Mus musculus: one gene and its partners. The protein of the gene in region 1 interacts with the protein of each later gene in a biochemical or structural test. Links are inferred from orthologs where the notes say so. Each region holds a gene or a part of one and is shown in the gene's direction. Other genes may lie near its edges.

Region 1 (9,836 bases):
AATGAGATAGGATGGTAGGAATGAGAAACATGAACGAATGTATTAGTTTGAGAGGCTTCTGGGACAGCTAGATGGAGTTGTTGGGTAGGGAGTTGAAAGTTCATGTCTGGAGTTCCGATGAGGGAACTTCAAGTTTGGAAATCATCGTTGTATAGATGGTAACTGGGTCTGGGGGCATGAATGAATACTTCTACCGAACACAGGCCAAGGAAGAGAAAAGGGTATAAGTCAACGCTGTGGGAAACCCAGCCTCTAATGGCTGGGAGGAAGATGAGCCAGCAAGGAAGTCTTAACAAGCAGGCAAACAAAACAAAACCCCAAACAAACGGGTAGCCAGATTCATGGAAAGAAATCCAGGAATGTAGATCATGGAAGCTATGAATGCACACTGGACAAGGGGCTCCTGAGGCTAAATTCTGCTGAAAGTACACATGCTGGCCAGACATCTATTAAATGCCAGGGGGGCCATCTGGACCTTAGTAGATGCTGTTACCAAGTCTTACTGAGAATGGAAGCAGAGTTAAAAAAGCCAAAAGGGAAGAGAGGAAATGGCTGTAGTGAGTGTGGAGAGAAAGAGGCCCTAAGGAGCTTAAGGGAAGGTCAGGCCAAGAAACACTTTGCTCTTACATCTAAGTAGTAGGCGAAACACTTGGTTTTAGACAAAAAGAGAAAGAACAGATTCATCCCGTTTGGGGTTTGAGGATGTTCCCCAATTAGTGACTTCCCTTTCTTCCAGGAATTGGAAAGGAAATTGAGAGACTGGGAGAATTGAGGGGTGGTCCAGGAGATTGATGTGCAAGCAGGCTTCGCTCCTAGAGCTGCAGAAAGCCAAGGGTCTAGTCATGTGGTATTCTTTCTCTATCACAGTAACTGATTTATTCCACCAATGAAAAGTGCCTTTTGGTGGGCAGGTGCGATGATGTCAGCAGACGAAGATGCTTAGTATCAAACCTGATGACCTGAGTTCAGTCTTCAGGCCCCACGTGGTGGAGAGAGAACAGACTCTCTTCAGTTGTTCTCACACTTGTGCTATAGTGAAGGTGTGCCCCCACACAAAATAATAAATGTAAATAAAAAATAAATGTAAATAAAATGTAAATTAAAAAAAAAAGAAGAAAGTACTTATAGATACTAGGAATTGTCCTAGAGATTGGTGTCCTACTATACAGTAAGGAGTTGTGCAGTGACTCCCAAGAGTATGACTTCCTCCAGGGGAGGAACCATTTTCTATTGTTGATACCCTTGACCATGTTTAGTGCAGTGCCTGGCATCTTGTAGGCTGTCAGGTTGGAAGACTCCTGGCTTTGGACAGGACTCAGCTCATTGACCTATGGTGTGATGTTAGCCTTTTCAGGCTTTGTGGGTTCCTCCTTAGTCTCTACCCAAGGCCCGACTTAGCTTCGTGCTGTACATTTATCTTTGTGGAGGAGAGGGGTGTAGGTATGCAGGAGCCACAGTGAAGATATAAAGGTATGGAGGTCAAAAGACAATTTATGGAGTTCATTTTTGCCTTCCACCGTGTGGTTCCTGAGGATTGAGCTCGGTCATCTGGCTTTTTGGCAAGATCACTCATGTTATGAACCATGTTGGCACCTTTTTATCCTCTGAGATGTCCCAAGTATAGATAACCCCAGTGAGAGAGGAGAGATTGGATTATTCTTTTTTCAAGAAACTATGTACCTGGTTATCTTTTTGGCTTCAAAAAGTCAGGGTGGTGGCCACATTGCCTCAGGCTAGACGGCTATGTCTCGGCACTTGCAACAAACTTACCCAATCTAATCTAAAATTGCCTTCTTCTCTGGTGTCCTGATGGTCAGGGCTGCCCTAAAGTCAACCTGGCTCTTCACGCACCCAGTGACACAGAACCTGTGTTCTCTTCAGGTACATTTCCTAGTGTTATGAAAGCCAGTCCCAGCCTGACTTAGAAACATGGCTTTTCTCCACCATTGCCTCAGAGAGTTCATCATTCCTGATATCCTGTGAGCTGTCAGAGGCATGGGGTCTCTGTGAGATGCTGCCATTGAACAGTCAGTGAGCCAGGACTTCGGGTTTCATTCTTTTTCTCCCTCTTTTCACAGACCGGAGCCTTACCTGGCCAGGCTCTGTCCCATCTTCCCGGTCAGGCCCCCTTCATCATTCTCTAGCTCCTTCCTTAAGACCACCTTCATCCACTCTAGCCTAAGGTGACAGGACAAGCTTCCTGGGTATCTGTTCCCAGCCAGTGCCAAGCTCCCAGGTACCTAGTTCTCCAGTGTCTGCCCCCATCATCCGTCCTATCCTTCTTTACAGTGGCCACTCTGGCAGACACACAACATGTTCCCCTTTATGCCGATATTGTAATACTGAGTCAGACAGAGTTTCATATTTTCTGATAGCATGTGACGCTAGGTGTTATGGAGCACAGACAAGGGAGTGGTCATTGGAGGGTAAAGAAAGTCCAGGGAAGATTGCTTAGGAGCCCTGAGAGCTGAGGGAAGGTTTGAAATACAAGGAGGAGGTTCTTACAAGAAGGGGTGGATTCCAGGCTGAGGGAACAATGTAAACAAAGACTTAGGCTTTGTTTGATGTGTTCCAGAACCTCCCATACTTCATGTGGCTGAGTATAAGGTGTGAGAGGGAGGGAGGGATGGCTTGAGAGGTGCTAGGTTTGGCTGCAGTGGCCTCTCAGGTATCCTGTAAACTGAGCTCAGCCTTTATCCTAAAGGCAGTGGTGAGCCCTTTAATTTTGTCAAGCGGGGAGTGACACAATCTGGTTTCCATTTTTGGAAAATCACTGTGGTTCTGGGTGGAGACCGAACTGCCTATTTTTTCCCCTTCGTTTATTCCAGTGACCATGAGTTTCCTCACAGCCCAGGTGGAACCACCCTGATCAGATCAGCAGTTAGTTAAACATGAAGGTGAAGCAGACACATGGACAGAAACCTTATTTCATTTATTTTATACAACTATTCAGAGCATTGTGCTAGATTCCCAGGTGCTAGAAATGGTAAAAATGCAGATAGTGGCTTCTGTCTCAGGATCCCTGGCTAAGCCTGAAGAAATGGGAGAGAGCCTCGCTTGGGCACCCTATAACATCTGCACTTACTCTGCATTGGGGCACACTGAGGCAGTGGAGAGTCAGAGTCAGACACCTCAGCTAGAGAATAAGGAGTGGGGGGCATTGAGTAAGATGTTAAAGGGAAGAGCTGCACAGGGGGGGTCAGAAAGTAAGACCTGCAACTGCTGGGTTGTTGGGGACTTGTGTGCAGAGGAAGGGTTCAGTAGAAAGAGGGAACTTTGAGGGAAACCATTGGGAGGGAGAGTGACAACAGGGCTTGACTGAGGGAGGGTTTGCAGTGAGAGTTGAGAGTGAGTGGGAGGTGGATGGTGGGGAAAGAACTAGTGTTGGGGGGTTCCAAGGAGAGCAGGGTTCATAGAGTTCCAGAATAGGCAGGGACAGAGAAAAGGACAGATTGGCCTTGAGGGAAGGTCTGGGGAGGGGGTCCCTTGAGGGAGGATAGGTCATACTCAGAGCCTGGTGGGAACTGGTGAGGAAGACTACTGAGAAATGGATGACATTGTTAACCAAGAGGTCCCCTTTCACATGTAGACTGGGAAGAGTGTGTTTGAGGTACCAAGAGCTACTGCTGAGACAGACAGATCCAAAGCATGAAATGAAGTGTTTTCTGAGAAGAGTCTAAAATGGAGTCTGGGGAGATGTGAGGGTAGGTTTGTATACTTACTCAATGAATGGTAATTTCTGGGCTCCTGCTTCTTGCTCTGTACCAGGACATTGCTAGAAGCTGGGAGTATTTTATTGAAAATAATAACAACAATAGTAATGCAGAATTTTCAGCAACATAGAACTTAGCCAGGAGTAGATCAGTAAACAAATACAAAAGCTAAATTAGCATGGTAGATGATGATCCATGCCTGGGAAGAATGGGTTACTGAGTTGGGGAAAGGTAGCCTACAGTTTAAAAGTGGATGTGTAGGAAAAGTCTTCCTCATAGTGATCCTTGGACAATGACCTGAAAGGCTAGAGTCTCCTGAGGTGACCATGCCATAACCAGGTGACCAGCCCTTGACCAGGGCTGGCAGGGGAGCCTGGTACCCTAGGTGAGATATTTCACAGACACTGTCTATAGTCAGGAGAGCCAAGAGCTGGAGCTGAAGGCCCTTCCTCTGTGACCTGCTGTCTTTCATGATGTCTGCTGACAGGACACATCCATCATTCCTGTCTGACTAGTCCCCAGTGTAGAGTGGGCTTAGAGATGACTGTATTAGTGACTTATAATGAAGGGAACACAGCCCAGGGGGCTGGCAACGATGAGGCTCCAGATAGCACTGTGGCAGTCGGTGTTTAGTATCCAAACCACTGAAGGCTGTGCTGTGCTGTGCTGTGCTGTCTGTGTCCCTGGCACAGTGAGCCCCAGTTGGTCAAGTGGGGCGTGGGGATGCACAGAGCGCCATTGTGCAGACATCCTGCTTTTGGTAGTAAAGAGAAAGCAGGCACCACTGGGCTACTCAGAACACAAGGGAAAAGGCTGGGTTGCAGAGCTGGGCCTGGCTTGTGGTGGGGATGGGGCTGTAGGGACAGGTGTCTGGTGGGAATGTAGTTCATGGCACATGGATTGGTGTTTGCTGGCTTACTGAGTTACAAGAAGATGAGGAACAGGACCTAAGTCTGGGGCAGCAACAGGAACACTCAACATGGTCTCTCCTCCCTGTCTCACAGGATCTACCAAGGCCATGTCTGTTCCATCATCCCTGAGCCAGTCGGCCATTAACGCTAACAGCCACGGAGGCCCTGCACTCAGCTTCCCCTTACCCCTGCACGCTGCCCATAACCAGCTGCTCAACGCCAAGCTGCAAGCCACAGCTGTGGTACCCAAGGACCTTCGAAGTGCTATGGGAGAGGGTAGTGTGCCTGAACCAGGCCCTGCCAATGCCAAGTGGTTAAAGGAAGGCCAGAACCAGCTTCGGAGGGCTGCCACAGCCCACCGAGACCAGAACCGAAATGTGACCTTGACCTTGGCGGAGGAGGCCAGCCAGGAGGCTGAGACGGCACCTTTGGGTCCCAAAGGCTTAATGCATCTATACTCTGAGCTGGAGCTCTCGGCCCACAATGCAGCCAACCGAGGGCTTCATGGATCCGCCTTGATCATCAACACCCAGGAACAGGGACCAGATGAAGGAGAGGAGAAGGCAGCAGGAGAGGCTGAGGAGGATGATGAAGACGAAGAGGAGGAGGAGGAGGAGGAGGACTTGTCTTCTCCTCCAGGGCTACCTGAGCCTCTGGAGAATGTGGAAGTCCCCTCTGGGCCCCAGGCCCTCACAGACGGCCCCCGGGAACACAGCAAGAGTGCTAGCCTCCTATTTGGCATGCGAAACAGTGCAGCCAGTGATGAGGACTCAAGCTGGGCCACCTTATCACAGGGCAGCCCCTCCTATGGCTCCCCGGAGGACACAGGTACCTTGTGGAGCTAGATGTGGCAATATGGGAGGGCATGGGGTCAGAAGTCTGGCTTCTCCGTGCAGAGGCCAAGGCCAGCCTGAGCATGAGCTGCAGAGCCTATACCCTCAGTCCAACATTCTCTCAGTCAGGGGGTGCTTGGACAGTTTGATACATCCATGTCCATCATGCATGCCATGAAGGCTGACTCTATTCATCATGTGTGCTGCCGTGGTTGATGTGTAGCGTCACTGGTTTATTGAGTGCTTACTGAGAAACTGACCCTCTGCTAAGCATTATGGCATTCAGTAATTAGAGCAATGTCTCTTAGAAAGACATACTCTTTCTAAGGCCAAATTACAAATGATGAGAAAGAGGCCCAGGCAAGTTTAGTGGCTTCCTGAGGGTCACAGACAGTCCCAGCTCATGATCAACTAAGATCGAAAGCAGAGCTGAGTCTAGACCTGCGTGAGTGCTGAGCCCTGTGTTACGCAGTCACCAGTGCACATGGCCTCTTTTAGCAGTCACATCTACGTCCAGAGGGAGCACCCAGCATCTTCCCACAGATGTCTGTCTGCAAAGTGTGGGGGTTGGCTTCTACTTATGAACCACATGCCGCATGCAGAGTGCCGTGCCGGCCATTGCAAGGATGCCATGTTGCCGGGAATGAGATGCTGGCTAAAAGTTAGGGGACAGAGAAGTACACTGATGCTTCCTCCTGGGGAGATACTAGAGAACAAAGAGTGATCAACTGATCACTCAATGTGACCTGTTTAATAAAGTTGAAGTTCTGTATTTGGTAATGTTATAGAGAGTAAAGATTTCTCTATTGTAGCTACAGCTACAGCCCAGAAGATCTGAGGGTGGGGATATAAGAAAAGCTGCAGTTGAGGGGTGATATAAGTTAATGCTAGATAATGTGCTTAGCATGCATGACCCGGGTTCTATGCCTGGAAGAGAGATGGGAGGCAGAGATAAGGACTTTCACTTCTAAGGTACTAATAGTACCTATACCCTACAAATGGTTCCTGGTAGGGGACATACATTTCAGATACCTGAGAGCTCCACCCATCGCTTTGTTGAAAAGCCTAACTGAATGTTTTCAAGCACATACAGAAGTGGAGGCAACACAGTAATGAGCCTGACTTATTCATCACTCAGTTTCAGTAATCATCAATGCACAGTGACCTCGGTGGGTCAATGTCTTATCTACTTCTGAACCCCATCTAGGATATATATACACATATATTATACATATGTTTTATATATATATTATATTTTTTTTCTCTGTGTAACCTAGATGGACCCTACACTTGCCTTGTCTCTACCAAACTGTCCTGGGGCTGGCTATAGGCATGAGCCACTATGCCCACATACCCAGCCTTGTTTTGCTTATATAGAAACAAAAATTGTGATTCCTTCCTATCATCAGATGTCCACTTAATGTTAACATTCTCCACATTGTGTGGTAAATGTCCCACTTAGCCTTTTGAAAAGAGGAGAACTATATGGATTGATATTCAGATGAGCCACAATGGTTATGCTTTTGTTTTGTTTTGTTTGAAATGCATGCTCATGCATGGGCAGATTAGAGGATGACTTTCAGGAGCTGATTCTCTGCTTCTAACATGTGGGTTCAGGAGACTGAACTCAGGTCACTAGACTTGGCAGCAAGCACCTTTACCTGAAGAGCTCTCTTGCTGACCCCTTCCTTCCTCCCCTCCCCTCCCCTCCCCTCCTATCCCCTCCCTTGCCCGCCTGCCCTCCCTCCCTCCCTCCCTCCCTCCCTCCCTCCCTCCCTCCCTCCCTCCCTCCCTCCCTCCGTCCCTCCTTTCTTTCTTTCTTTCTTTCTTTCTTTCTTTCTTTCTTTCTTTCTTTCTTTCTTTCTTTCTTTCTTTCTCCCTTTCTTTCATTTTGGTTATTAAATCTTGTCATTTTGGCTAACCTAGATCTCACAGTGCACTATGTAGACCAAGTTGACTTCAAACTGGTCCCTTGCCTCTCTCTTCTGAGTGCTGGGATTATAGACATGAGCCATAACACCTGGCTTTAAATTTTTTAAAATGTATATAAGTTCTCCCTTTATTTATCTATTGATTGTGTGCACACACATTTCTGTCCTGAGTTTTCTATGATGTGAATTTTTAAGCCTTTCTCCCTAAGTGTTTTTGAATATATTCCTCTTCTAGATTTCTTGTAATAGATAATTAGATAAATGTAGTAGATAATTCTAGAGCCTTTACCAGATTCAGGTTTGAGTGGCATTTGTTTTGTTTCTTTGAGAACACCTCATAGGTGGTACCTTACCAACGGTAATTATTTCTCTTTGTGTCATGTTAGTGGCTTCTGATGGCCAATGTCCCCATCCTTTGTAAAGGGAACATCTGTTTTACTCAAGCTGGTTCTTTATTAGATTGAGTTTGGAGAAAAAAATGTACAAACTGAAAGTTAGATTCTGATGTAAACTATCTCAGTTTCTGGATGCTAACACTCAGCAACTAATTTCTGTCTTTTCAAGAGCTCTGTGCAGGACATATGTGTATCTTAGAGCCTTGTAGCACTGCAGGTTACAGCTTGCAACCCTGGACAGGGGGCTCACTGGCCAAACAGGGGCTTGGTTGCTTAGTGGCTCCTGAAGTCATCGCTGATAGCTATGTTCTGGTCCTTTGAGGTGGGAGGGTAGCAGAACAGAAGAACTAAGGGTGTGCTGGGTATGGCCAGTGATCTCAGGGAGGCCATGGGAGGGGTGAGAGGAGACTCAGCAAAGTAGTCCTGGTGGATTCTAGGAGTTGTTGGATGCAGGCGTTAGGCCAGTCCCAAGGGGAGGAATGTTCTTGTCTGTGTTGCTTCTGCCATGAGAACTGCAGGTGGTGGGTTTCTGCTCAGTAGAAATGGGGTAGGATGGAACCGAAGTTGGTTTTCTCCCCATTTTAGGATCTCCACGAAGCAGTTGTTGACTGAATGAACTGTGTGAATTAAGTGATTTTTGTGAATGAATGATGAATGAATGAACGTCATTACCTATGTTGGAGTTACACTCTGAGCAAGGCCTTGTCCTGGACGCTGAGAATGTGTAAGAAAGGCCAAAGATGTTCTTACCCTTTCGGTACTCACAGTGGGGAAACAGAAATAGACTCACAATCAGTGATGATAAGTGGGTTGGTAGAGGATCATTAGGAGGGTACCCTGCCTGAGAGAGTCTGGAGGAGAGGGTCGGTCATGAGAGTTCCCTTTGTGCTTGTCTGAAGGTGGAGTGAACCCAATCTGGGGAATTGTCAGAGGCAAGGCTGAGAGGCAGAAAGCTAGGGGCTCTTAGCAGCACATAAAACCTGTGGAGGGGTCTGGATTTTGTCCTGAAGGTAATGAGAAAGCAGTTAAGAGCATTAAGCTGGAGAGTAACCTGATTAGTTTGGCGTCTCCTAAGAATCATTCAGGCTACAGTGTGCAGCCTGTAGTGGAGACAGAAGGAAATCAGTTGAGAGGCTTCTGCCGTAATCCAGATTAAAGCATGCTGGTCGCCTGGTCTGTAGTAATGATGTGGTGCAGGGGGGAGGGGAGGAGAGAGAGAGAGCATCAGCAAAGTAGTTTGCCTGCCTAAGCCACTAAGGCATTCATGGATGAATGAAGAAAGGGCCATGGGGATATTTGGATTCACGTGAGTGCCTGCAGGAGAGTGTACGGTTGTGTTATTAGTGCGTGTGTATGGAAGCAGAGGCCCCGGGTGGGCTGTGCTTGGAGAGAGATGTGCCAAGCTCCAGAAGGGCCTCCCAGATGGTCAGGGGGGTGAGGAGCTGCCCCCTCCAGGACAGATCGGAAGGACGAAGCTTTTTGAAGCAGGAAAGCACAGGCTGACAGAAATGGCAGATGGATCAGTGTGTGTGTGTGTGTGTGTGTGTGTGTGTGTGTGTGTGTGTGCTTGACTCAGTCAGGGGAAACAGTGAACTGGCCCCCAGATTCCAGAAATGCCTGACCGACCATGAGGCAGGCTATGGAGGGCAAGGGCCCTTGGGGTTAGTGTTCCTGGAAGGTTTTAGCGGCAAAGTCCTGAGGGGATCTGGGGGAAAACACATGATTGCTGAGCCTCAGTAGAGTCAGATAGTAGAGGGTGGAGACACAGTGATGGCTGCCTAGCAGGTAGATGGGCAAAAAGAGCTCCTTTTCATTGGGTGCCTGTGGGCTTACCTCATTTGCAGGCTGAGGATGGAGAAGCTCCTTGTCGAATAACTCATGCTAGGTGGGGAAACACCTTGGCATAGGCAGACCTACTCCCAGCCCCTCTGTGCCTTTAGTACCCAGCAGCCTGGATCTTGAGACTGCCTGTCCCTCAGTGCTGCCTCTTGGACCAGTCAGGATTCCTGGTTTCCTTGGTAACGGGAAGCACGTCAGCAGTCTGGGCACTCCC
Region 2 (9,828 bases), on another chromosome or scaffold:
TCTCACCTCTACCTTTCAAGCCCATCTGATAGGTGGTCTCTCTCACTCCGGCAGGCTCCGAGTACCAGGTGCTATACATCGCGGATGACAACGAGATCCGCAGCTTGTTCCCGGGCCACCCCCACTCAGCCTACGAGCAGACATTCCAGGGCGATGAGAGTGTCCGCATAGATGCCATGGATGTCCATGTCAAGGCCGGCCGTGTCTACTGGACTAACTGGCACACGGGCACAATCTCCTACAGGAGCCTGCCCCCTGCCGCCCCTCCTACCACTTCCAACCGCCACCGGAGGCAGATCGACCGGGGTGTCACCCACCTCAATGTAAGCATCCAGCCTGTCAGAGATGGGGTGGAAGAGCTCCGCAGGACAGAGTGTAGGGGCTGAGAGGGCAGAAAACTAGAAGACAGGAGTGGTCAGGTCAGCCTGCTAGGCACAGCTAACAGCCAGAGCAATAAGTAGTATTTGGGGCTGGAGAGATTGCTCAGTGGTTAGGAACAATAACTGCTCTTCCAAAGGTCCTGAGTTCAATTTCCAGCAACCACGTGGTGGCTCACAACCATCTGCAATGGGATACGATGCCCTCTGGCACTCAGCAGCATAGCCTACTCTGATACCTCTGAGTCAGTACTGGCCAACTTGCTTAATGCGTGGGCTTTACTTTATTGACAAAATGAATAATAGCTCTCCTGGGCTTAAGTAGAGTTCAGAGGTGGAATGTGTGAAACCCTAGGCTTGATCCTCAGCAACAATGAAGATATAATAATACCTAGTCTTCTAAGCTTCTTTATAGATCTGGCTGCTTGGGTTTTTTTGTTTTGTTTTTTTTGTTGTTGTTGTTGTTTTGTTTTGTTTTGTGCTAAATTTGAACTAAAGACTTCATGGATGCTAGCCAACTGCTTTAGCAATGAACTACACTCCCAGCTTCAGACTGCTTTTTTTTTGTTTTTTTTTTTAATACATTGAGTGTGTGTGTGTGTGTGTGTGTGTGTGTGTGTGTGTGTGTGTGTGTGAATCACATGTACATACCACGGCACACATGTAGAAGTCAGAGGACAACTTGAAGTTTGTTCTTTGTTCCTACCAGGAGTCCCAGGGATTGGAACTTAGGTCCTCAAGCTTGGCAGCAAGCACCTTTACCCACTGAGCCACTTCACTGCCCCCACCACTTTTTAAAAGTGAGAATTAACTAGAAAACCATGAAAATGTGCCTGGCATGGTGGCGCATGCCTGTAACTCCAGCTGTATTCATAGCAGAGGAAGGAAGAGCAAGAGAAAAGGGTCAGTCTAGGCTACACAGTGAGTTCCAGATCAGCCTGGGCTATGAGAGAGACCTATTCAAAAGCAAAAGAACCTAGAAACTGTGGTCACGTCAGTGTGGGGTGACAGACAAGAACAGGTGGGCAGACCAAGGAGAATGGGGGTGACAATCAGGGAGACAGAAGATGGCAGTCGCTGAACATATGACCCCACTTAGATTTCAGGGCTGAAGATGCCGAGGGGTATCGCTATCGACTGGGTGGCCGGGAATGTGTACTGGACCGATTCCGGCCGAGACGTGATTGAGGTGGCGCAAATGAAGGGCGAGAACCGCAAGACGCTCATCTCGGGCATGATTGATGAGCCCCATGCCATCGTGGTGGACCCTCTGAGGGGGTGGGCACGGGTCCTGGGGGGGAGGTATCTGGGCTGGTGTCCCTCAAGACAGGTGGTAGGCTCGACATCCACAGGCAGGGGGCAGAGACCTCAGGCTGCTAGGCTTCTCCAGTCCTGGCCCTCCTAAAGCCTCTGTCGGGGACTCCCAGTTGAATAGCTTTACTGGCAGCCAAGATCTGGGACCCCCTGCAGGCATAGCCCTGCCCATTCAGATGCTATTGGCTTAGCACATTGTAGTTAGAGCAGATGATGCTAGCATGGGTCGGCAGCTGTCTCCTGGGGCTCATTGAAGGGGACAGGGTGTTTCCTCACAATACCCAGGAGCGTCCACACCAGGCCAGGTGCCCTCTCTTCCATCTCACTCTGTCTCCTTGGCCCTGGGATCCAACCCACTCTCATTTCTCCCTTCCCAGCACCATGTACTGGTCAGACTGGGGGAACCACCCCAAGATTGAAACAGCAGCGATGGATGGCACCCTTCGGGAGACTCTCGTGCAAGACAACATTCAGTGGCCTACAGGTCCCTGGGGCAGGGGTAGGGTGTGGAAGGGGCAGACTCTGATCATGGCTGCTTCAGAAGTCACCCCTGCGTGCAGTGGGGCGGGCAATCTCCAGCAGATCAGGCCGAGGGCCATGGGAGTGCTTCCCGGATGGGCGGCTGGGAGAGATCCTATGAGCCGGGTAGGATACATGCCGTGGATACCAGACAGAGTCAGCTCTGTTCTCTGCGCCCAGCCTGGCGTGACAGAAGCTGATCTCTGACAGACAGCATTCTCTCACCCCAGGGCTGGCTGTGGACTATCACAATGAACGGCTCTACTGGGCAGATGCCAAGCTTTCGGTCATCGGCAGCATCCGGCTCAACGGCACTGACCCCATTGTGGCTGCTGACAGCAAACGAGGTGAGGGTGCTGGCAGGCTTGGTTCCCATCATGGTCCCCAACATCATCATCAGGCTTCTCACTGAGCTCAAGGATGTCTCTTCAGAAGCCTGGCACCCAGCCAGCCCGTGAGCCTGCGCCTACCTGACCATTTTATTCACTCTACCAACAAGTATCAAGTTGTGTGGGGTCAGCAGGGTAAATGAAGGGAGAGAGAGCTAAAGTCCCCCATGGCCCCAGAAATCTTGGGGGTGATGAGACAATTTGCCAGTGGCAGGGATAGTTCTAGATATGTTAGGTCTGAGACGCCTACACTGACAGGTGTCTTAAAGACTGGGTCCAGGGCCCAGGCGCCTGTAGTGACTTAACCTGGCTGTCCCTGCACCCCAGGCCTAAGTCACCCCTTCAGCATCGATGTGTTTGAAGACTACATCTACGGAGTCACTTACATCAATAATCGTGTCTTCAAGATCCACAAGTTTGGACACAGCCCCTTGATCAACCTAACTGGGGGCCTGAGCCATGCCTCTGATGTAGTCCTTTACCATCAACACAAGCAGCCTGAAGGTGCATCAGAGGGAAAACCCGGGGTGTGGCAGGGTGGGTCAGTGATAAGGAGGGTGCCGGGCAGTGGTGGCGCATGCCTTTAATCCCAGCACTTGGAAGGCAGAGGCAGGCAGATTTCTGAGTTTGAGGCCAGCCTGGTCTACAGAGTGAGTTCCAAGGCAGACAGGGCTACACAGAGAAACCATGTCTCTGGAAAAAAAAAAAAAAAAAGGAAAATGTTCTAAGTCCACACTGCTCAACATCGACCCCTTCCAACACCCACAGTGACCAACCCCTGTGACCGCAAGAAATGTGAATGGCTGTGTCTGCTGAGCCCCAGCGGGCCTGTCTGCACCTGTCCCAATGGAAAGAGGCTGGATAATGGCACCTGTGTGCCTGTGCCCTCTCCAACACCCCCTCCAGATGGTATGCATGCCCTTTTCCTGGGTACCTGAGGATCCCTTACCTATAGCCTCTGGCTCCCCTTACCCTTGACCCCCTTCCCCTTCCCATGCTCTGATGAGCTCTTACTGCAGCCCCTAGGCCTGGAACCTGCACTCTGCAGTGCTTCAATGGTGGTAGTTGTTTCCTCAATGCTCGGAGGCAGCCCAAGTGCCGTTGCCAGCCCCGTTACACAGGCGATAAGTGTGAGCTGGATCAGTGCTGGGAATACTGTCACAACGGAGGCACCTGTGCGGCTTCCCCATCTGGTATGCCCCCAACCAGGGATGGTCCTCTCCCATCATCCTCACCTGGCCCCTTCTATCGCCTCCAGCATCCACTTCAACCCCATCTGTTCGTCAAGGTGCCTAGGATCCCTGCTATAGGCCCAGGTGGTCCCCAGTGCCATGGTCCCACTCACAGATCCTCTCCCACCAGGCATGCCCACGTGCCGCTGTCCCACTGGCTTCACGGGCCCCAAATGCACCGCACAGGTGTGTGCAGGCTACTGCTCTAACAACAGCACCTGCACCGTCAACCAGGGCAACCAGCCCCAGTGCCGATGTCTACCTGGCTTCCTGGGCGACCGTTGCCAGTACCGTGAGTATTCACCTCAACCCCAGGGAAGGAAGAGGGGAGCCAGAAAGAACCCAAAGGAGCAGGTTGAGAGGATGGAAGACGTACGCAGATGAGCCAAGCCCAGGCTGTGGGTGCTGCCTCTCATGTTGGCGCATCTGCCTAAGCCTCCAGGCATTCAACACAAGGAATGCTTAGGGTCATCCTAGTGTTCTGGGGTCTGTGACAGGGCATTAGGAGGCTCAGGAGTGGGTGGGAGTTATTCATAAGTCCTGGACCCTGCATAAGGTACTTCCTCTCCACTCCCAACCACAGGGCAGTGCTCTGGCTTCTGTGAGAACTTTGGCACCTGTCAGATGGCTGCTGATGGCTCCCGACAATGTCGCTGCACCGTCTACTTTGAGGGACCAAGGTGTGAGGTGAACAAGTGTAGTCGCTGTCTCCAAGGCGCCTGTGTGGTCAATAAGCAGACCGGAGATGTCACATGCAAGTGAGTGGGGGGTCTTGCCTCCACATTCTGCTCTGTCTTCTGGCCCCGCCCCATCCTGCCCCTCCTGGGCCCGCCCCCTCTCCGGGCCCTTCCGGCCCCGCCCCTATCTTGCCCCTCCTGGCCCGGTTCCTGTTCTAGCATCCCAGATACCCTTCTGCAAGCCCCAGCTCCAGATTTTGATTCCTTTCCACAGCTGCACTGATGGCCGGGTAGCCCCCAGTTGTCTGACCTGCATCGATCACTGTAGCAATGGTGGCTCCTGCACCATGAACAGCAAGATGATGCCTGAGTGCCAGTGAGTTGGCCCCGCCCCATCAAATCTGAGCAAAGGAACAATATGACCTATGACCTCCTAGTTCCTGCAGCTAAAATGGTCGTGGAGGTGATGCCCACCCACTGAGTTTTGCTTTCTTGCCTGCAGGTGCCCGCCCCATATGACAGGACCCCGGTGCGAGGAGCAGGTTGTTAGTCAGCAACAGCCTGGGCGTAAGTGGTGGGGAGGGCAGGGCTGCCACGACATAGAGCAAGAAGAGCCTTACACCTCCCATCTCCCTAGGCTTCAGACTCAGTTTCCCGACTTCTCTCTCCAGATATGGCCTCCATCCTGATCCCTCTGCTGCTGCTTCTCCTGCTGCTTCTGGTGGCTGGCGTGGTGTTCTGGTATAAGCGGCGAGTCCGAGGGTGAGCCACTGGGAGTCTGAGAAATTCTGGCTGTTATTTTACAATCCGATAACCTTACCAACATCACGGTTCCCTGACTCCTGCCTCTCCCCAGGGCTAAGGGCTTCCAGCACCAGCGGATGACCAATGGGGCCATGAATGTGGAAATTGGAAACCCTACCTACAAGATGTATGAAGGTGGAGAGCCCGATGATGTCGGGGGCCTACTGGATGCTGATTTTGCCCTTGACCCTGACAAGGTATGCCAGAGGCCATCGAAGGGGCTTCTGGAACAGGATCAAAGGCCGGAGGGGTGGGGTTGGGGTGATCAAGGCAACCAGAGGTGTTACACAGAAGTGGGAGCTGGGGTATTCTAATCATATGAACCTTTTTTTTTCCCAGCCTACCAACTTCACCAACCCAGTGTATGCCACGCTCTACATGGGGGGCCACGGCAGCCGCCATTCCCTGGCCAGCACGGACGAGAAGCGAGAACTGCTGGGCCGGGGACCTGAAGACGAGATAGGAGATCCCTTGGCATAGGGCCCTGCCCCGACGGATGTCCCCAGAAAGCCCCCTGCCACATGAGTCTTTCAATGAACCCCCTCCCCAGCCGGCCCTTCTCCGGCCCTGCCGGGTGTACAAATGTAAAAATGAAGGAATTACTTTTTATATGTGAGCGAGCAAGCGAGCAAGCACAGTATTATCTCTTTGCATTTCCTTCCTGCCTGCTCCTCAGTATCCCCCCCATGCTGCCTTGAGGGGGCGGGGAGGGCTTTGTGGCTCAAAGGTATGAAGGAGTCCACATGTTCCCTACCGAGCATACCCCTGGAAGCTGGCGGCACGGCCTCCCCACCACGCCTGTGCAAGACACTCAACGGGGCTCCGTGTCCCAGCTTTCCTTTCCTTGGCTCTCTGGGGTTAGTTCAGGGGAGGTGGAGTCCTCTGCTGACCCTGTCTGGAAGATTTGGCTCTAGCTGAGGAAGGAGTCTTTTAGTTGAGGGAAGTCACCCCAAACCCCAGCTCCCACTTTCAGGGGCACCTCTCAGATGGCCATGCTCAGTATCCCTTCCAGACAGGCCCTCCCCTCTCTAGCGCCCCCTCTGTGGCTCCTAGGGCTGAACACATTCTTTGGTAACTGTCCCCCAAGCCTCCCATCCCCCTGAGGGCCAGGAAGAGTCGGGGCACACCAAGGAAGGGCAAGCGGGCAGCCCCATTTTGGGGACGTGAACGTTTTAATAATTTTTGCTGAATTCCTTTACAACTAAATAACACAGATATTGTTATAAATAAAATTGTAAAAAAGGAAAAAAAAAAGAAAAGAAAAGAAAAGAAACCCACTGTGTCTGCATGCTAATGTGAGAATTTGGGAGCTGGGGCTGTGCTTGCCTGTTCCAGCCACCAGAGGGAGCATTGCTGCATGCTGGAGGCTGGCCTGAGAATCCTAAGGTCCACGTCTCCAGCCCCACTCCATCCTCCTGTCTTGCTATGGCAGGGAAGAGCTGTTTTGCTCAGTGTATGACCTTGAGCCTTATGATGTGACTGGTAGGATCTGGTGTCACCCGGCCCCAGTGCATTGACTCAGACATGTGCTTCACTGTTCTCCTGCCCTACACTGGCCCCACAGTGAGATGCCACCCTAGAAAAAAGCACACTGGGTAATGAAGGCCTTTAGGAAGGTCTGCTCCATGCTCCTTTTGAAATGTTGACATCTCACTCTATGACCTATGAGTAAAACCCTGGCTGTTGGGCCAGCAGAATGGCTGGGTGGGCAAAACACTTGACTTTGCAAGCCTGGTAGCCTGCGTTTGCTCTTGGAACCCATGTAAGAGTGGGCAAGACCACCGGGCAGTGGTGGCGAACGCCTTTAATCCCTGCACTTAGGAGGCAGAGGCAGGCGGATTTCTGAGTTCCAGGACAGCCAGAGCTACACAGAGAAACCCTGTCTCGAAAAACAACAACAACAACAGCAAAAAAAAAAAAAAAAAAAAAAAAAAAAAATGGGCAGGACCAGCTCCGTAAAATTATTCTCTGACCTCCATATGTACGCTTTGGCAAACACAGAATTTTTTTTTTTAATTAAATACCTGCATTAGGGGATGAGATAGAGGGGAGGAGAGCCAGCAAGGCTCAGTTTGCCCATCAGCTTCCGACATATGCCTCTCTCTCAACAAACATTGCAGACATTCCAGGAGTTGACCAGGAAAGGACTTACACTATCTTAGTTGTTCCAGATCTCCTTGAACCTCTTTCAAAGGGGAATGAACCCCTTGCGGAAGACTATGCAGCTTTACACTGTCCAGGACTGGGGGAGGGTTAGAACCCTGCTCTTCTAACAGCAGCAAACAATGCCTCCCAAAGGAGCTGTCCAGCTTTTCATCTCTGACCCTCCCAGGGTATTTCTCCTTTGAATCCTCCCCTCGGGGAAGCTTATGGGTAGATGAACATCCAAAGACAAGACCCTCCTTTTCTATCATCAATTTTATCTCCAACCTCATCCCTGAAGCCCGGCTATGAGATCTTCCTTGCTCCTCCAGACTCCTTATGACTCTGGGATGAGCGATCCTGCTGGGAATAAAATGGGGGTGGGGGTGGGGGTTGGGGGGGGGTCATTGTTGATCCTTAAATGTTGACTTGTGGCTCTTTCTGGCCACCAGGTGGCGTCTACACTGCTGTAACACTGCTTATCCTAAAGCTCCCCACACTAATTATGCACCTGCTGCCGAGGACCCTAGCCCAGCCTCTCACTTCCTTCCCTGGGGCTATTTTGCGCTGACCCTTCTACCCTCTGTCAGCCATCTTCCTTCCCTCCCCCAGAGTCTGCTCATTCCCCACCACCAGTAATCCCACCCTCTCCACCCCTTCCTTCTGCCAGCCTGCATCTGTAGCCCCCCCCCCCCCCGGAGCCACTGATTCTCTGCCTGTCACCTCAAGATCTCGGGTAGAACAAGACAGGCCCCCAACTGCTGCTTTAGAAAGCCTACCCCTTCGTTAGCACCCTCCCTCTCTGGCCAGGACCAGAAGGGTGCACTATCTTCAACCAAGCCAAATGCAAGGGAGTCTCAAAAACCAAAAAGGACACTGACTGATTCAGATCAGATTGAAAAGCAGATATTCTTAGATGGAAAGAGTCAGGGACAGAGGCAAAGACCCAGAGATAAGTACTGTGCACATGTGTGTATGTGTGCATGCACTTGTAATCTCTGAGAGAATTGGACGGCCTGAGATTAGCTAAAACGATGGTGATGGGGAGGGTCAGGTCTCCTACAGATAGATACTTTGGCCGTGGGCTTCTAGGCACCCAGGATGTGTGACCACCCTTTGCCTTCACCCAGAACTAAAGCAGCTCCTTTGCTTAGGGTCAGCCCTGGCCAGCCATTTGGCCTTGTCCCTGACACTTTGTCTCATCCTGCCTTTATTCGTTCAGCCCTGACTGCACCCCAAATCGCTGCTCCCTGGTTTTTGTCTCCTTGAGTGTCACCAAGTACACCCCTGTCCTTTCCCTGACCCTCTTTTCAGTGTCTGTCACTTCCTGTGTGTCTGTTATTTTCATATCCCTAGGCTTGTCTTTCAGATTGCCTGTGTGTGTGTGTGTGTGTGTGTGTGTGTGTGTGTGTGTGTGTCCCTGTGGGTATTTGCCTCTGTCAAGGCAAGAGGTACTTTGGGTACCTAGCTGTTTCTGTATATCACTGTATGCTACTGTGTGTATAAATCATGTGTGTCCGTCTCTGTGTGCTTATGTGCCTCTGTGTATGCTGGTCTGTATGTGAAGTGGCCTCACTGCTACAGTGTAGCAGGGTACTATTACAGTGGGGTAAGACTGGAGACACACCTTGGGATGTGTGTCTGTCTCTTCATCTCTTTGCATGGTCCTATCTCTTGCTGTCTAGGTGTTGGTCATACTACCTACTCAGCCTCAGACACAGCGCATAGCAACAGCTGACAGCTGAAGACTCCCTGGGTAGGGGAGAGAGAGAAAGACCAGTGGGAGGAGGAAACACGAAGAAACAGCCCTGAGGATGAGAACAGAGACCGTGCTGGAGCTGGGGACAGAGAGAGACAAGGACAGAGATAGACAGGGAAGGGGACGGGATGAGAAGAGCTGAGAGTGGAAGATGGGATTGTGGGAGAGAAAGCACAGGGCTCGTACCAAGAGGGGCAGAAGGCACTGAGGACTTCCTGCCTAGCACCAAACAAGGGTGCTCTGGATCAGGCCAGGGTCAACAGTGCGGATCAGGGGCTAACTTAAAAGAGCCGGTTTAGCCAAGGGGTCCGGGGGCCGCAGAGGTGCCGCGGGGCGGGGACAGGGCGGCGGGCGCCGTTTGTCAGCCCTATTGACAGACGTGATGGGGTTTCCGTCCGTGATCAATGATTCTCATCTCCAGGCCGAATGAGCCGCGGGGCGCCCATCCATCCCCGTCAGCGCCGCGCTCAGTGCTAGTCGCCCGAGGCCCCGCCCGCCCTCACCTCGGTCCCTGTCCGGATCACTGCCCTAGACCTACCTCTGCCAGGATTATAGAAACACCCCCCACCCATCCACCTCGGGCATCACAGGACAGGGTCCTGCTGCGTTCCCTAG
Region 3 (9,836 bases), on another chromosome or scaffold:
GAGTAGTCCGCACAGGCGTCCCTCTGATTTTAAGAGATGGAATGTGGCTTCTGGGCATCAGTGGGCATCATGGGGTAAAGCGACTAGGCAGACCAGTGAAGAAACCTTTGTCACCCAGGAAGAGGTGATGACAGCTGCCGTGGAATAGGCAAAGGTTAAGCTAGGCCAGAGTGGGAAGAAATAGAGAGAGAGAATTGATGAACTTACTGGTCCTAGTCTGTGGGAGGAATAATTTGTCAGAGGCCAGTTTCCACAGGTCAGGGGAAACTGAGGCAGGTGTAGAATCAGTGATTGATCATTCAGCAGACTTTTCTCTGAGGGCGGAAACTTGATTTACTGGAGCCAGTGAGAAACTCTTTGGAGCTGGCAAAAAAAGGAGGAGAAGATTCACACACACACATACACAGACACACATATACACACATACACACACACATAAACACACACTCACACAGACACACATATACACACATACACACACACATAAACACATACAGACACACATACACAGAAATACAAACACATAAACACACACACATACACAGAGATACAAACACACAGACACCACACACATACATATACACACACACACACATATATATATGTATATGTATACATATATATATAACAACTATTTTTTCTTCCACAATTTATATATCCTAACAAAATCTTTCAAATGGTACAAAATGAATCACAATGTGATTACCTTCTATTTTTCATTAAGTGATCCATTACAGTGAGTATTCATAGAAAAACATATTTACCAATACTCTCACATGAATAAACTTTTCTTAGAACAGGTTAAACAGTACAGGTTTAAAACAACAACAACAGATTATTCCCAAGAACCCACATGCATTCATAACTAAGCAACTTGTTATAGATTAACAAAATAAAAGCAAGCAAAATAATTTTCTCAGCCAGTTTCTCTTACTGGCAGGCTGCAATTTGCAGTTACAAAGAAAGAATTATTATTTATCTTTAAAAATAATGATAAAATCTTAAGAGAATCATAAATCTAAACTTTTATGTAAAAAACAGTCATTTTTATTTTAAGTCCCCAGGGTGCATCTACTCATTAACGATTTTTTTCATTAAGTAACATCAGGAAGCTAGGGCAAAGGTGAGTACAAGAAATTAGTCATCACCTTGCTCGCCAGCCCAGCCTCGGGAAGGAAGAGGTGCATCAGCTAGGACCAGTCAGGCTACCATTGTTTCTTGTTCCCTGTCCTCAAAAAAATTCCCTCACTCAACTATTAATAGTTTTACTTTCTGACCTTCAAATTGTTCCCCAAGGCCACTAACAATCTATATCTCTAAATTCCTTCTAAGGGTGGTGGTTGAATCGTTTATCTGCTCCAGTATCGATGCTTGACAAAGCTCCATTATTATTACTGTGAGTGGCAGTGACACTGCCCAGTGAGGCTGGACGCCCCTCAAAGTTTCCTGCACTCATGGACTGTGAGGCAGCCACAGCAGCTGCGCCGAGGCACGGGCACAGCCATCGTGCTTGTGCTAGCTGGCTATGGTGGACCAGTCCATGAGTTCTAAAGCTATTTTGCTGTTCCTCTTTCTTGCCCCATCCTGAGACAGCTTGTGTGAACCCTGCCACAGGCAGCCGGAGACAGGTCCTCAGCACATACAGGCTCACTTCACTCCAGGTGGGCTGCTCACCTCAGGTTATGAGAGGCCTCACAGTTGAAGATGCACTGGAGCACATTGCTGGGAAGTAGAGGCCTGTATCTACACCTGGGAGGAAGCAGATGCAGGTGACATGAGACCTGGATGCACCAATAAAGTTAGAGTCCTGTAGAAGATTCATGCGTAAGAGGAAAATGCAGGAGTTGAGTATAGAAGAGCCCTGCAGCTCTCCTGGGTGCTTTTAGCTCCTTAATGTTTTTCTAGACCGGAAAGGGCGTGGCTAGCTTAACTGAGGTCCAGGACACAAGTGTGGCAAGAGAAAATCTTACCCATTGTGACATGATGCTAGAGCTGAGGTTCTTCAGCTGCAAAAAAAAGCTTCCCACAGCTCTGACTCAAAAGAGACAGACCGGTCCAGGATTCCAGTCCATCTGCAGGCCTTAAGTAACCCTGTCCCCTGGGGGACCTAAACACTACCATGTTTCTCCCTCAGAAACGATGGCCACCACCAGCTCAGTAAGCAAAGAAACACCCCAAGTGCTTACTTCCTGCCCAGACCAGTTTTGAGTGTAGGTCATAGGTGAGTATAGAAAGTCTTAGCCACTAGCCTTAGCTCATGAAAGTAGGGTGCCTAACGAGTGGCCTGTCCACATAAGCCAGCATTCTAAGCTACACACAGTCTGTCAGGGAACCAAGTGTGAGTAGAGGCAGCTCAGAGTTCCCGTCCACGGGGGACCTTGGGAAGCTGATTTGTATTTTTTTTTCTCCCCAACATCTAGGAGAAAGGCAGCCTCCCAGACAGACAAGCCCGCTGACAGAAAGGAAGATGAGAGCCAAACGGTAGGCACCACTCTACCCAGCCGGCCCACACCGTCAGGCCTGCCTCTGGTGTAAGCACATCTCCCGGTGAGGTCACCGGAAGCTGAGTACCTGGTTTAGACACAGCTGTGAGGGAGGGACAGGGATCCCGTCAAGCTTCAGGCCCAGACAGGCTTGCATCTCCTGAGAATTCTTTTGACCAGACCCTTGGAGCCATCATTCAGCAGGGAAAGCAGAAGTAGACAGGAAAGTCCCGGCCAGCAGGAGTGCTTAGAGAATCCCAGGGAACTCAGGACCATTATGCTCCAGCATGCCAGGGCTGCATCAAAGGGACTGGAACCATCTACTGAAGCCTGAAGTCAGAGTGGTCTTATTTCAAGTTACTTATAGTTCTAAACACACCACTTGAGTATCCATCAAGCCCAGTGGGAGCTGTGCTCCCCAGCCATGGCAGGGTTCTGGAACCCTGGACTCTAGTCCCTGGCAGGCATGTGGAGATTGGTCTGTCAGCACAGAGCTCTTAGCCTCAACTTCTATTTATGGTGACCATTTTTTTTTAATGTACACGATAAGCTTTCTTATTTTAAAAAAAAAAAAAAAAAAAAAAAAAAAGAGCCGAGCGTGGTGACACATGCCTTTAAACCCAGCACTTAGGAGGCAGAGGCAGGCGGATTTCTGAGTTCGAGACCAGCCTGGTCTACAAAGTGAGTTCCAGGACAGCCAGGTCTATACAGAGAAACCCTGTCCCGAAAAACCAAAATAATAATAATAATAATTAATGGCATTCTACCGGGATTGCTGAGTAAAAGCCTCTAATACAAACAGCATGAAGGCTGCCTGCCTGGTCTTCCTTACATGCTTAGCCACTGAGGTGGGTCTGGTGCCCCTGGGCTCTAGGCCTCCCTGCCAGTCTGTTCTCCTCATTCAGTCTACACACAAGCCACTTCACTAGGCCTGGGCATGTGTAGTGCTTTGTGCTCACCAGATGGCCTCTCTCAGCCTGTACCTGCTGCATGAGCCTTACTGAGAATGGCCTGCCTCTCAGACCTCAGCTTAGGAAGGTCACCCTCACTCCCCAGCTCTCTGCTTCTGCCATGCCCTTCATACAGACAGGGCTGCCTTGCAGAACTATCTAGGGACCAAAATGGGGTTCTCACCCAACTGCCCTGTGTCTTCGATCCCTGTGGCCTTAAGCCAGATTTGCTGGCCAGTGCCACTGGATATTTACATGGGTGTGTTGGGCCTCGGATTGCAGAGTCAGCACTGGCTTTTCTTAGGTGCCGCAAGTACTCGCTAGCCTCAGCTTCAGAATCCGTCGGGCCATAGAGCCTTAAGGAGTGGCTTTCATTAGTGAGGCTCTGTTGAAACCCTCGTCGGGCCTCATTTTCTCACCTTTTAAAAAAAAAGGGGGGGCAGATCTTCTGTATAAATAAGACCTGGGCAGGGTGCTTTCCTGAGGTCCCTGCTTCACTGTCTCCAGCCTAGTGATGTAAGGATTGTGCTCTTGACTGAGAGACATAGACTGAGCCTATGCCTTGAGGACATGCGGGAAGCAAGCTGGCGCAGAGGTACCCTACCTTGTTGCTAGCAGACTAATGACAGGACCTTCTCTCTCACTTTAGGAAGACCCTAGCACCTCCCCATCCCCAGGTACCCGAGCCACCAGCCAGCCACCTAATTCCTCAGGTAAGAGGGTACCTACCCTACAAGTCTTGAGATCTTAGAGCAAGCAGTCAGCTGATATGGCCACTTCAGTCTATGGATAAGAGCATCAGATCTACTGAATTCCAGGTCCTCAGAGCTTCCACACTTCCCCAGGGAGCCCAAGCAGACAGCTAGGCAGGTGTGGCAAGGGGCCCTTGATCTGGTCCAGCTAAGGGGAAAACACCAACAATTCCATTCACAGTGGACACTCAGCGGTGCTGGGGTTTTAACCATCCAGAGCCTCCACACATTAGTCTAGCAAGCTACCACGCTACTGCTTAGCCACCCCCTGACCAAGAAGCTATTTAATGTCATACTTGGTTTCTCCTGTGTAATGCCAACTAGACTAATGCTACAGTTAGATCACCAATCCACCTTTCTCTACCAGAAGCACAACCCCTGACCCTGCCCCAGTCCCTACAGTCAGCTGTGGCCCCCGGTTTGTGATTAGGACAGTGTTATGAGACTTAGCTAAGGGACAAGACCCAGAAGCTGGCTTCAACTAGCCACACACTCATTGTCAGCTTCGAGCCAAGCCTGGGGCTCATGAATGTGGGAAGTGAAGCAGAGGAGTCAGGTCGCCCACTGAACAGATAGATGCTCTTGTCAGCTTTTGTTCACACCAGTGTGCATGTGTCCAGCCTTCCTGGACTTCCTGGAGTGCTGCTGCCTACATTAGATGGCTTGCTCATTGTCACTGTCCTCATTTCCCTACTGTGGGTTACGGGGATTTCCTATGCTTAGCAGCCTTTGACTACCCACGGCCAAGCATTCTGCTTGAGGCCACACACCTGGAGGATGGCTGTGGTCCAGATCTTGTTTCTATAGGCCCCGTGCACCACACACCTGGAGGATGGCTGTGGTCCAGATCTTGTTTCTATAGGCCCCGTGCACCTGCCAGGTGGCTTTGAGGTAACCTGCCTCAGACCTGCGGTTGCTCTGCAGACAAGGCTCAGCTTAGGGCAGGACAACCCAATGTCCCTTCGCTTGTTCTGCTCAGTTCAGTCTTTCTCCTGTGAATTGAAACATGAATTGTAATCTAGTCCAACAAAGGTTGAGTATTCACAGTCCAAAAATGCAAAATGCTCCAAATTCTAAAACTTGCAGTGAATTTCATATGAACTCTGAATCTGCAATAACCACTGGTTCCAGGCATCCGTATGAGGCGCCCTCAGCCTGTACACTAAACTTAGAAAAGGGAAAGCTACTTCAGGCTCAGGAAGGAAGCAGGCCAGACTCAGTGTGAAGAGACTAGTGGGCAGAGGTTCAGTGGGATCCAGGAAGCCTGGCCACCGGAGATATACCAGGACAAGACCGATGAGAGTGTTGGCTCATATCCCTGCCTGCTCATTTGTAGCTGGAGTTGCCGCTTCCCTACCAGCTGAATCGAGTTCTATGTAGAATACTCAGGTTTCAAGGGAATAGTGGGGAATGCGGTGACAGCAGGCTACCTACAGTTCCTGATGAAAGAGGACTGAGACTCGGGGCCAGGTTGCAGCTCTACTCTTAGCAGCTCCCACTGTGGCTCTGCACCAAAGTCTGATAGACTCCTGCAGAGAGGACTTGGGAGTGGGTGACACTGAATCTTCTCAGCTCTGATCCTTCATGAAATGAATTGGCAGAGGCTGGCAGAAAACCCTGGGAACGGAGCAACTCGGTGGAGAAACCTGTGTCCTCGTTGCTGTCCAGGTGAGCTGTTCTGGGAAGGGCCAAGAGACTGCTCTGCGGGCAGGATCTGGTACCGGTTCACATGTCTCTTTCATTCCATGCCGTAGAACCCCGTCTGTGGCAAAGAGCCCCGAAGCTAAGAGCCCCCTTCAGTCGCAGCCTCACTCTAGGTACCGACAACCCTCCTGCCCATGTGTTGCCCAGGCTCTGCGGTCTCCTCTGTCCCCTGGCTCATGACTAACACCCCCAACCCTGTCTTGTGTCTTAGTATTAACAACTTGCTCTGGGAAGGGTAGTCTGCTCTTTCAGACCTGGAGAGAGGCAAAACTAGAGGCCATCATAGGGGTGTAGGCTGGCTTCCTCTCCTAAGAAGAGAAGGCCCGGGCTCTGCAGAGGCATGACTGACAGAGGAGAGAGAAGCAAACCCAAGCAGTCAGTCCCTGCCACCAGCACCCTGTCCTTTCAGATCGTCTCTGCATGCAGCTCGCATAGTCGGCCTTCTTGAAAGTCAGCTTCTCCTGTCCTTGTTTCCCAAACCAAATGCCAATATAACAGCAGGATAGACCATTGAGAACTCAGCTCACCCAAAAGACAAAGATGGTAACTGAAGCCAAATATGCCTGCATTTGAAGGTCCATGAGCCTGTAGCAGGCAATCTCTCTACTGGCCACCCCAATGGGAGCAAGCAGCTCTTGTCACAGAGCAGGTGACTACAGAAGCCAGGCCTGCAGAGTAAAACAAAGTGGTGAGCAAGAGCTCTAGCCCAGCCCTGACAGGCAGGCCATGGGAGCCAGGCTGCGTGCCAGGGACAGCTGTGGTCCCTAGAAGCTCCAGGCCACATTGAGGGCAATGATGGTCTGCGTGGAAGCTCTAGAGAGGGGTTGGCCATGCCTCTGAGTGAGAGAATGTGCTGCCGAGATTCAGGAAGCAGCCATCAACCGGAAGAGATGGAAGATGGTAGTGCCTTGAACACAGCCACCCAAGCAAAGTTGAAGAACAGGCAGTGTGGCTAGAGGCAGAAAGACTGACCATGAGCACTCAGGCAAGCTGATTTCCCACACGAATGCTCCCTGCAGAACACCTGACACAGAAAAGGAGGGCTGGCAGAGACCTGTGGTCTTCCTCAGAGCTAGTCCTCACTGCCGTGGCTTCTCAGAGAATGCTCCCACCTCCTCAGTGTCCTTCCCTGGACAGACACATGGCCAAGGCCTCTCTTCAAGAATGAAATTTCGCCGGGCAGTGGTGGCGTTCGTCTTTAATCCCAGCAATTGAGAGGCAGAGGCAGGCGGATTTCTGAGTTCGAGGCCAGCCTAGTCTACAGAGTGAGTTCCAGGACAGCCAGGGCTATACAGAGAAACCCTGTCTCAAAAAAAAAAAAAAAAAAAAGAATGAAATCTCTTTGCAGCTTCAGGCAAAATCTGATCTCCAGTGTTTTTGTTATGATTCATTTCCACCCTCTCCTTTCTCTCTTGCTATCTTTTTAATTTTTTAAAATTCACTTTACATCCAGATCACAGCCCCACTCCCTCTCTCTTCCCAGTTCCACCCTTACAAACTCCTCCCCTCATTGCCCCTTCCCCTTCTCCTCAGAGAAGGAAGCCCCCCTCCCACCTTGGTAGCATCCCACCTTGGGCATCTAGTCCCAGCACTGGTCTCTAGTTTTACTGAAAATGTACAGTAACCACTTGCTCACAGCATACATGCTGCTCATGATGGCTGCTGTGTGGACGAGGGACAGCTGAGGCATAGAGAGTAAGCTAGATGATTCAGGTCCCCAGCAGTCACTGCTGAGATGGCACCTGCAGCCCATTGGGAGGACCTGAAGCTTGGGTGTGTTTGCCTGTCAGGACCCAGAATTCCCGGTAGACCTGTTCAGCACCATAACTGACTTCATTTTCAGCCTCTTCTCCCAAACTTTGGAGATCAGTGGCCCTCACTCTCCTAATATCACCCCTTATACAGCAAGTTGTCCCCATAAATGGACATTGAAATTCCATCATATCCCACATGCTTCCACCTCCTCAGTGTCCTTCCCTGGGCAGACACATGGCCAAGGCCTCTCTCCAAGAATGAAATCCCTTACCTGATTCCAGCCTCATCCCTTTCCCTGGAGCCACAGGCTTCAGAGCTCTTCTCTCCACATGGACAGAGGATTGGGTCCAGACTCTGTCTGCTGTCAGCACCCCACCATGTCCTGAAAGACCCCCGAGCTAGATTCACATTGTGGCTAGTGAGTATCTGGGAGAGTGCCTGTGCACAAGGCATTGACGTTCAGATCAATGATGTCAGTCCAGAGCTTGTTCAAAGTATAACCAATAAGAAGGAGCAAAGCACATCCTTGAATGCTTCAGGAAGAGCAGAAGTAAGGGAGCCACTTCCTGCCCAGGGAGTGCTAGCTGAAGTGCTACCCCAGCATGGAGATAACTACAGTTTCATCAATTCTGGTTGATTTCACCAACCAGAGTTCAGCTAGGAACACGAGCTCCTGGTGGCAGAAGACATGATTAGTACCACCCCTCCTCAGTGAGGCAGGAGGCACAGACGCAGTCTGGCTCAGTTGCCTACTCTGCATAAGGCCTTTCAAGCCAGAAGACTGTTCCTGTATGACCCCATGTCCTGACTTAGACTTGGAAATGTGGTTAAGGGATTGTGGAGAGACCTTTCAGAGGCAGGACTTGCACAGCCTTTCCCAGCAGCCCTAGGTAAAATACAGCAGAAGGGCAGGGGAGCCCAAAGGAGGGAACTCTGACACCCCAGGGCTCCCCAGCATAGGTGCCTATAGACCCTGGCAACCACCTTCCCATTCCAGGGTGAAGCCTGCTGGGAGTGTGAATGACGTGGGCCTGGATGCCTTAGATTTGGACCGGATGAAACAGGTGAGAGCCGGGGGACTGGGGGTGGGGGGGGCCAGTCAGCAGGCTGAGGACTAGCTCTATCCAGTGGGTCTCATACTTGACTGCCACAAAGGCAGGAACCTAGCCAGAAGAGGAAAAAGGAGAGTCTGAGTTCCCTGCAGCCTGCTTCTGGAACCCCTCCCTGTGGGCAGCCATCATAAACTGAGGGGTGGTGAGGGCAGGGTTTGCCCAGGGCCAGGCTGAGGGAAAGAGCCCTGCAGCATACCCCTGGAGCCAGCGTCTGTCCCTTCACTGTGAGGCTCTGCCCAGCAGGAGATCCTGGAGGAGGTGGTTCGGGAGCTGCACAAGGTGAAGGAGGAGATCATTGATGGTGAGTGGACCTCAGCCAGGGTGCGCTCACTGCCCTCCCAGCACCCCACTCGCCCCAGTGAGCAGCCCTGGAAACAGGTGCAGAAAAACAAAGTGCTTTACCAAGACTGCATTTCTCGCTGGGTGTGGCTTCTGTGTCTGAGACCTCCCTCTCCTCAGCATCCTCTCAGATCACGTGTGCAGGAGAGGGTGGGTGTGGAAACACCCCCTAGTTTCTGTCCTTTCCTGTTCACATCTGTTGCCTGCCCAGCCCTGCCAATGCTGCCTCAGGAGGGCGATGAGCTTCCTTACAGCCTGCATGATCCTGTGTATGAGCAGACATGGTGTTCTCTCCTTCCCAGAAGAGCTCTGGGAAACTAAAAACTGAGACTGTGACCCTTGTGTCGCACCTGACCCCACCAGGGCCTTTGAGGGATGACTTGGGCTGGAACAGAGCAGCAAATCATAGCCTGCGTCTGCACCTATGCCTGCTGCCCACGTGCTGCCTCGCTTCTCACTGGTTCCCAGGCCAGCAGCAGTGATTGTCCTAGAAAGGCCTATGAAGCCAGAGGGGCAGCTAATGACAGACTCCCATGGGGAAGATGTACTGTGAGGACCTGGTGGCCAGTCTCTATAGCAGCTACAACCCTTGGCCACAGAGGGCGCAAGTCCTGTCTGTCCAGTCCTACTGGAATACAGGTCTGAGCGTTCATGAATGCAGGGAAGGAAGCAGCACAGCTAAAGAATAGTTGGCTGCCAGGCACTTCCAGCTTCCGGGTGGGGCAGGGCAGGGCGGGTTTG

Evidence for each region.
Region 2: the proteins of Apbb1 (region 1) and Lrp1 form a complex in vitro, tested with the Homo sapiens proteins (2 studies listed by BioGRID and IntAct, with this or other methods). The link is inferred for Mus musculus from reciprocal best matches to the Homo sapiens genes APBB1 and LRP1.
Region 3: the proteins of Apbb1 (region 1) and Evl form a complex in vitro, tested with the Homo sapiens proteins (2 studies listed by BioGRID). The link is inferred for Mus musculus from reciprocal best matches to the Homo sapiens genes APBB1 and EVL.

The regions. Positions count from the first base shown.
Region 1 is NC_000073.6:105,569,298-105,579,133, reverse strand, and holds part of Apbb1 (amyloid-beta A4 precursor protein-binding family B member 1), read left to right. Parts: intron 1-3,594; exon of another isoform or gene 3,595-3,704; intron 3,705-4,717; 5' UTR 4,718-4,731; coding exon 4,732-5,452; intron 5,453-9,815; exon of another isoform or gene 9,816-9,836. UniProt on the Homo sapiens protein: Transcription coregulator that can have both coactivator and corepressor functions. Adapter protein that forms a transcriptionally active complex with the gamma-secretase-derived amyloid precursor protein (APP) intracellular domain.
Region 2 is NC_000076.6:127,534,914-127,544,741, reverse strand, and holds the end of Lrp1 (prolow-density lipoprotein receptor-related protein 1 precursor), read left to right. Parts: intron 1-54; coding exon 55-323; intron 324-1,476; coding exon 1,477-1,655; intron 1,656-2,068; coding exon 2,069-2,175; intron 2,176-2,440; coding exon 2,441-2,557; intron 2,558-2,926; coding exon 2,927-3,103; intron 3,104-3,367; coding exon 3,368-3,508; intron 3,509-3,618; coding exon 3,619-3,792; intron 3,793-3,961; coding exon 3,962-4,123; intron 4,124-4,414; coding exon 4,415-4,589; intron 4,590-4,782; coding exon 4,783-4,884; intron 4,885-5,010; coding exon 5,011-5,075; intron 5,076-5,179; coding exon 5,180-5,270; intron 5,271-5,364; coding exon 5,365-5,509; intron 5,510-5,651; coding exon 5,652-5,792; 3' UTR 5,793-6,585; downstream 6,586-9,828. UniProt on the Homo sapiens protein: Endocytic receptor involved in endocytosis and in phagocytosis of apoptotic cells. Required for early embryonic development. Involved in cellular lipid homeostasis.
Region 3 is NC_000078.6:108,677,409-108,687,244, forward strand, and holds part of Evl (ena/VASP-like protein), read left to right. Parts: intron 1-691; exon of another isoform or gene 692-1,749; intron 1,750-2,420; coding exon 2,421-2,481; intron 2,482-4,082; coding exon 4,083-4,146; intron 4,147-4,162; exon of another isoform or gene 4,163-5,773; intron 5,774-5,786; coding exon 5,787-5,853; intron 5,854-5,939; coding exon of another isoform or gene 5,940-6,002; intron 6,003-8,641; coding exon 8,642-8,708; intron 8,709-8,999; coding exon 9,000-9,057; intron 9,058-9,383; exon of another isoform or gene 9,384-9,836. UniProt on the Homo sapiens protein: Ena/VASP proteins are actin-associated proteins involved in a range of processes dependent on cytoskeleton remodeling and cell polarity such as axon guidance and lamellipodial and filopodial dynamics in migrating cells.